Ovis aries: one gene and its partner. The protein of the gene in region 2 purifies or fractionates together with the protein of the main gene of each other region. This does not show direct contact. Links are inferred from orthologs where the notes say so. Each region holds a gene or a part of one and is shown on either strand. Other genes may lie near its edges.

The links. The genes of interacting proteins can lie anywhere in the genome.
Region 1: the proteins of MZT1 (region 2) and TUBG1 purify together in Homo sapiens (affinity purification with mass spectrometry; 4 studies listed by BioGRID and IntAct, counting the BioPlex papers as one, with this or other methods). This does not show direct contact. The link is inferred for Ovis aries from reciprocal best matches to the Homo sapiens genes MZT1 and TUBG1.

What each region holds. Positions count from the first base shown.
Region 1 is NC_056064.1:42,410,133-42,414,457, reverse strand, and holds the start of TUBG1 (tubulin gamma-1 chain), read right to left. Parts: upstream 2,823-4,325; 5' UTR 2,724-2,822; coding exon 2,675-2,723; intron 2,353-2,674; coding exon 2,240-2,352; intron 2,038-2,239; coding exon 1,870-2,037; intron 1,005-1,869; coding exon 936-1,004; intron 640-935; coding exon 560-639; intron 137-559; coding exon 10-136; intron 1-9. Other genes in the region: RETREG3 (reticulophagy regulator 3), read left to right, coding at 3,143-3,381. UniProt on the Homo sapiens protein: Tubulin is the major constituent of microtubules, protein filaments consisting of alpha- and beta-tubulin heterodimers. Gamma-tubulin is a key component of the gamma-tubulin ring complex (gTuRC) which mediates microtubule nucleation.
Region 2 is NC_056063.1:48,080,233-48,083,759, forward strand, and holds part of MZT1 (mitotic-spindle organizing protein 1), read right to left. Parts: intron 1,656-3,527; coding exon 1,510-1,655; intron 1-1,509. UniProt on the Homo sapiens protein: Required for the recruitment and the assembly of the gamma-tubulin ring complex (gTuRC) at the centrosome.

The DNA.
Region 1 (4,325 bases), on a different chromosome or scaffold from region 2:
AGGACTTACCACACAGTCAGCGTTCTGGGTCAGCCTCTTGAGCGTGAGCAGTGAGTTGTAGGGCTGGACCACCACATCGCTCATCTCGTCCTGGTTGGGAAACACTGAGTATGTCTGCACCAGCTTCTTGGGGTACCTAGTGGTGTTTGCGAAAGGATGGTCAAGGGCAACAGACTAGAGGCTTGGTAAACTTGGGGCTTCTAGTGACGGTCAGGATGGGGAAATTGCGGTTCGGGTCATAGGACAGCAGAGAAGGGAGACCTGACTTTTGGCAGTCTGTAACCCAAAAGGGGGGAAGGGCAGAGAGACATCTTAGGACCTAGAGTTTTAATTCCAAATCAGGCTTACTCCCTGAATCTTCATCAAAGATCAGGATTCTAGACTCTGGTTCCAACCACTAGGAGTGTGATTGGGTTCCTGGTCATTGTACCTTTCCTTCCTCAATACAGCAGGGAACGGAAGGGCCCTTTCCTGCTCCAGTGAATGGGAAGGTTTTATCTGGAGGGCCTCCCAGTCACCTGGGAAACCAAATCCTCTCTGCCCTTCAAAACAGACTTACCTGTCATTGAGCCGTTCTAAGAGGTAGGAGCCCAGGCCAGAGCCTGTTCCCCCAGCGATGGAGTGACACAGCACGAAGCCCTGCATGGGGAAGGGGCGGTCAGTATCTAGGTTTCAAGTGGCAGGATTTCCAATTTTACCCATCTCATAACTTCTTGGACTCCTATCTTCCCAAGACCTCTCCTCCACTTCCCTCCCCCACCGCCCCCCCCCCCCCCCACAGATTAGCAGACTGTTCGTTATTTCCAACAAGGCCCTGTGGCTTCTGTCCAGTGCAAAGGCTGCACGGGGAGGGTCCCACACCTAACAGATGGCTTCTAAAGGGTGCTGCCTAGCGGTCCCCTGCTGGCCGTCACCGGCATTCCTAAGATGCTCACCTCTAGGCTGTCGCTGCCATCTGCCTCCCGGTCTATGATGTCGAAAATGTCCTCGTGGATCTTCTCTCCCTGCACAGACATGGAGGGCATCAGAGTGGGGCAGGACTAAGCAACAAGACTAAGGGCAGGACTTTGGCCTCGGAATAGCCACCCTCCATTCTCCTTATAGTACCTAAAAGTCCTTTTTGGAACACAGTGGTCCTGCTTTTTGTTTGCACTAAAAGGTAGTACAGCCTGGTGGTTACGAGCAGAGTCTCTACATCCAGACTGCCTGAATGCCTATATTAGCTCTAGGTCTAGTTAGTCGGGTGCTACTTCATCTCTCTATACCTCAGTTTCCTCATCTGTACAATGAAGGCACTAATACAGGTCCACAGTGCCTTATCTAAAATTCTTGGGGCATTATGTTTCAGAGTTCAAATATTTCAGATTCTAGGAGGGCTATATGGTGTGTATAACACAAGCTAAGTAGAACATCAGTGGGGCAGGGGTCTGAGCAGTGCTAACCAAATACATTAATATTTCTTTAGTGAAAGGAATGAGAAGTGGCAGCAAGTTGAACAGAAACTATAAACTAGCTTATCTCTATTGAGATTCAGTTTTGCTGCTAAATGAGTAGTTATAAATCCTCTTTTGGTTTCAGAGTTTTCTGGATTCTGGAAACCTACAGAGACTGTGGACCTGTAGTACCTACCTCTAGGATTGTTGGAAGGTCTGGGTAAGTTAATTTATGTAAAACACTAACAATGGCCTGGCATCCGGCATGAGCCAAGTGCAGTCTCTTATGACCATTACATAGTTCGCTCAGAACCCCCTCAGTCACATCTCTCTCTCCACTCATATATTCTCCATCTGGTTTATCTTCTCTTTAGGAAGTCATAGGGCCAGTCCCCATGCAGGAGTGGAGTTCTTCTGCCAGGGAACAGCAAATGACCTGGGAGAATCCACTGGCCCAGTTGTTGCCAGCTCCTCCTCCGTGCTCCGACAGGTAGATGTTCTCTGGGTTGTAGAGCTTGGCATAAGGGGAGTTGAGAATGGAGTGGATCACCCTAGGCTCCAGGTCCAGCAGCACTGCCCTCGGGATGTAGTGCTCATCGTCTGCCTGTAAAGGGGAGTTTAGGATGGGCCCAATCAGCTCGGGCCTGCCCAGTCCTCCAGTCCTCCCAACCCTGATCCTGCCTCCCTCCCTCTTCAAGCCAGCCTCCCTGGCTCCTCTGCCTAGTGGGCTTCCCAGTACCAAGCCACTACCCTTCCCTTCAGAACCCCTGGGCCACTACCGGCCCTGGCTAAGTCCCTGGGGGCACCTGGTAGAAAAAGACGTCCTTGCGATCAGTGCCCTCGGTGGCGAACTCCTCCACGATGCCCTCGGGGCTGATACCATGCTCGGCGCACAGCTGTTTCCAGAACTCGAACCCAACTGACGGGAGGAACGAGGGCGGGAAGAAAGAGGATATCTGGGTCTGGGCAGGTTCCAACTAGGAGCTGGGGGACTCAATGCCTGGGTCCAGCGATAGGAAGTCAAGCTTCGGGAGTCTCTCGTGTCAGAGGAAAGGGCAGTATATCAGCGACTGGGCAGAGGAGGGCCCCTTGGGGTTGAGCAGCTGGATACTGGGTCAGGCATGTCCCACCTTTCGGAGAACTACGATTCTGGGAAGGGCAGATGGAGTTCAGGATCCCACAGCGAGATCCCGTAGAACCTAAGAAACCCTGGCTAGTGGAGGGGCCGGAAGTTCGCTCACTCTGATTGCCGCACTGGCCCAACTGTAGGGTGATGATCTCCCTCGGCATCTCTCCTCTGGCAGCTGCGTTGCAGCCGCTCTGTACAGCAAAGCTACCGCTCTCGCCACAGAAAAGCTGCCTCTCCCGCCAGCAAAGCCGCCGCTCGCTAGCCCGTTACACTGCGCATACGCCAAAACTTGCCCCGCCCCCAAACTTCCTCTGTTCCAATGAAAACTGAGTTCTGGCGAGGGCACTTCCTTACTCGTTCGGCTTCAGCCCTGCAGACTGCGCGTGCGCAGCTCCTGATTGGGGCGCCGGGGACGTAATTTTGACGCAGTGTTCTTCTTTCTGGGATGTACGCGACCAAGGGCCTTCGCGCAGGCGCGTGTGCAGGGATGCAGCCTCCCTCGCCGTTTCGCGCATCTGCGCAGTTGAGATTATTGTGATTGTCGGGCCGTGGCCCCGGATGTTGTGGCTGCCGGGGGGAGATGGCGGAGGCAGAGGGGGTGGCCGTGGCCCCAGGCCCAGCCTCCGGTCAGACTTTCAAGGGTCGCCGCCCTATGTCAGGCTCCTGGGAGCGAGACCAGCAGGTTGAGGCGGCGCAGCGGGCCCTGGTGGAGGTGCTGGGGCCTTACGAGCCTCTGCTGAGCCGAGTGCAGGCAGCCCTGGTGTGGGAGCGGCCAGCCAGGAGCGCCCTGTGGTGCCTGGGGCTGAACGCGGCTTTCTGGTGAGAGAACTGGATCCTCGGAAACCCTCCGAGGCGCGAATTCGTCAGGTTTCTCTAAGGCTCTATCTCTCGCCTCCTTTGTTTTCTTCGCTGCACTGGCTCCTACCTGTACCTGCCTAATTTTGTCTCACCTCCTTCCACTCTATCCCGCCTGAGGCTTTGGCACCGCAGTTCTTAGGGCCTTCCAGTTGTTCCCCCTGCTTTACGTGCACCCTCGCCCCGCACATCTGGCAGGAGCTTCTAGTAACATCTTGCGCCGCTCGCAGTGAGCGAAGGCGCCTCATTTTAGCCAAGAGAAGCTGTGTTCCGTTAAGGCCATCACCTCCCTTCTCTTGTCTGCTCAACAGCCTCGAGATCTTAGTACTTATTGTTGGAGTAGATGAGTAAGGCGTGAGATCTTGAAAAGGGATCCATAGGTGTAACAAGGAAACATGCTTAAACGACCTGAATTAGCATGTTAGATAGACATCTTTTTGCCCACTCAGGAAGTTTGCGAAGTCTGGGAGTCCTTGAGAGCCTCCATAACTGCAACTTGAAAGAAAATTACAAGCTTTTGAAGACAGTTATGAAATAGTAATTGTGGGATTTCACCCATTTCAAAGCCACTTAAGACGACTTCTCCGTGTTCCAAGGAATTAGAGAAGCATCCTTCACCACGGTTTATATGCAAGGAAATTGAGGGTGTCTAATAGTGTTTTGTTTTTCTGAGCTGGGATAGTAGGGCTAAAAATATGCTTAAAGAATCTGTCTGTGTCATCCTGTGTGAAAATGGAACTGCTGCTTCCCTGAGTTGTCATCTCCTGAAGTGAACTTAGGTCTTCATAGAATCTGCCAAGCAGAGTTTGGATTTATTCATAACTAGGGAAGTATTACTGATCAGATTCCAAGGGAACTCAAGTGTAGGGGGGGCTTCTACAGCTGAATGAAAAATAAAGCAGTTCTGG
Region 2 (3,527 bases):
TGATGCGAATTTGAAAAAAGGTGGTCCTCTGGGTCCACGCTGGCAACACAGCCCATCTGGCCTCAGCAGTTCTTGGCCTCTGGACTACTCTTCCCTTTCCTTCAAGGATGTGCACACACTAACAGCTCCATCAGCCGCCTACAGAACCCCAGAAGTATGACAGCCTTTCTTCATCCCTTTAAGTCAAGCTAGCCTGATTTTGTACTGAGATGTTCACTGTATCTGAATCACACAACCTAATCTCTTCACCAAAAGGTTATCTAGCTACACTCTCAGCCTTCTTTCCAGAGATCTATCTGGGTAGGCTGAGAGCTTCCCAAAGTGAGCGCTGGTTTCTTTTTACTTATTCCTTCCTCAATTTCCTATTCCCCTTACATTTTACCATAAGCAGCAAGGAGAAACCAGGCCCTACTTTCCATGCTTTGGAAATTTCCTTAGCTAAATACCCAAGTTATTGCTTACAAGTTTTATTTTCCTTCCAACAGCAGAATATAATTCAGCTGAGTGCTCTTTATACCGAGGATGGCCTTTCCTCCAGGGTCCAACACCCGAGGTTGTTCATTTCTGTCTGAGACCTCAGACAGGCACCTTTCACGTTCATATTTCTAACAAGATTCTATTCATAATGATAGACATATTCTCTGAGATGACTGATGCTCTTTTCGTTCTGAGCTCTCACTAGAATCACCTTTAATGTCTATCATTCTACCAAATCTTTAAGGCCATCCAGGCTTTTATTATCAAGCACCCTAAAACTTTCCAACCTCTACCTATTACCCAATTCCAAAGTCACATCCACATTTTTATGTATTTCTTATAGCAGCACTCCACTTTCCAATAGTAAACCTAAATTAGATTTCTAGGGTTGCAATAAACATGTACCATCAATTGGGTAGCTTACAACACAAAATTATTCTCTAATAGTTCTGGAGGCAGAAGTCCTCTGAAGGCTCTAGCAGAGTATCCTTCCTTGCCTCTTACCTTCTGGTGGCTGCCAACAATCCTTGGCCTTCTTTGTCTTGTAAACACCATCACTCCAATCTCTGTCTCTGTCATCACAGAGCATCCCCTCTGTGTCCTCACAGGGTATGTGCTTTGTATATCTGTGTCCAAATTTCTCTTGTCTTTATAAGGACACTGGTCATTAACCCATTATGATCTCATGGCAATTTGATTATACCTACAGATACACTATTTCCAAACATGGTATATTCACAGGTGTTGCACACTTAAGCATATCTTTGGGGGAGGGGGGCAGAAACAATATCACCCCCAACACAAGCAGAATTCTAAACATAATCAGAGATAATTTTACAAAAAGACAACATGGTTCAGATAGAGTATTTTGTGATCTGAACATACACTACTAAGATCCCGGCCTTCAGAATTTCTCCTGATGACAGATGTTAGTTTAACCTTGTTTAGAATTATTCACATAAAATTTCAGCATTAATTGTTTTCTAAACAAAAGCATTTTCATTCAGAGTGAGTGAACATATGAATCTCTACCTTTAAGGCTTCTGTGGCCTTGCGAAGTTCCTTAATAACTGATGATAAAGCTTCTGGGTTAATTCCTTGTTCACAAAGCCGCACACATATAGACAGAGTTTCCATATCTAATCCAGTATTCAAAATTCTTGAAATCTCAAGTAGGACTGGAAAAAGACAAGAAAATTTTAAGAATAAAATCTTGTAACATTTAAAAAATGCACGTGAATACCTCTGTTTTTAATTCATATAATGTTGTATAACACCAAAGAACAGCACAGCATTCCTAGATTTGGAAACCGGGATGTAATACTGGAAAACCGGCATGTAATACTGCCCTTACTTAGCTCTAGAAACTTACAAATAAATTACAACCTCCCTCCACATAACTTTTCTATATCTTGGTTTATATTCTACTACTCATTTAGTATCTATCTAAAATTCACATACCATAGTCCAGATTATTCCGAACATTTTCCCACTTTTTAGCATTCTCTTACAATGTAATTTAATCATTCATGTAATATTCCATTTTAAGGAAATAACATATATTACTTAACTGCTCTATTTTGTTATGTGGGTCTCCTGTTTCCCTGATGAAAATAATACCATGACAAATATCTGTACATAGGAACTTAATTTTATCAGAATAAATTCCTAGAAGTGGAACTGCTTAGTCAGTAATATACCATTTGGATTTTGATATGAGCTGTATGAAAATAACACTTTATTTTGGGATGAACAGACAAATGAACAATACTAAGCCACCTTTAATTTCAGTCTAAGTCCTTTTGAAAACTTTCATAATATTCATGATTTTTGTGATATGGGCCTGTTCCACTTTTTCATACTTCATATTCATTTTCATCTTGAGAAGTTCAATTTGTTTAAAAAAAAAAAAAACCTCTCTTCCATTCCTATACTTAACCTGAACACATGGAGTACCGTTCTAATGTTTTCACCTGCTAATCCTAACATCTGTATCAACTGAGGATCAGTTTTTTAACAGATTAAAATTTTCTTATCATCAGTCACATTCTTCTGTTTTTGCATACCTAATAATTTCTGACTGGATGCCAGACATTGTGAATTTTACTGTGCTGGGTGTTTGACAGTTTTGTATTTCTATACATATTCTCAAGCTTTGTCATGAGATATAGTTATCTAGAAACAGTTTGATCCTTTGGTATCTTTTTGGGGTACTTTCCTTGCACACTGATCAATGCCATGCTGAATACCTGAGGGAGAACATTCCATGGACCTCCAGAATTCTCTCTAGGTGCAGGCTCTTTCCTCTCAGGTACTCTGTCTTAAAAACTCTGCCTGCCTTGGTCTCCCTGGACCCTAAACTCCTGCTCAACTCAAGGTATCTGCTGGGTTTTGCCTCAGTTACTCCCATCCTGCCACTGCACTGCAGCCTTGAAGGCAAAATCTTAAAAAAAAAAAAAAAAGAATATCTGATCTTGTCATATTCCTGTTTTAAATGTAGTAGCTTCCAAGAGTTCTCAAATCTTCAATAGGGCCTTAGTATATTCTCCTGTCTGGCTCATCTCACATTTCACAACCATAATTACACTGTCTTTACATGAGCCTTTCAGTCTCATTTACCAAGTTCTTCCCAGTGTAAGACCTGGGGAGAAGGAGTCCAGATAAGTTATTGCAATTATGCAGAGACTGGTAGGTGGCATGGACAGGAGAGATTAATACAAAAGGTCAAGTCTGAGATGAGTGAAGAACTGAAGAAGCTTAGTGAAGGATAGAGGTAGGGGAGACCTCACATGAGAAAGCAAGGGGATTGATGGTGGGAGCATGGGCTATATGTTTGCTTCACCAACACTGCCTTGCACACTGTGGACTCTCTTTACTTCTTTTGCTAGTTTACAACTTGATACAAGTCAACTGTGTATTGAAAATATTTGGGAAAAAAAATTCTTGGCAGGCAGATTCTTTACCACTCAGTCACCTGAGAAGCCCCTATACAAGAGGATGAATGTGGGTTATATGCAAACACTTAGCCATTTTATATGACAGACTTGAGC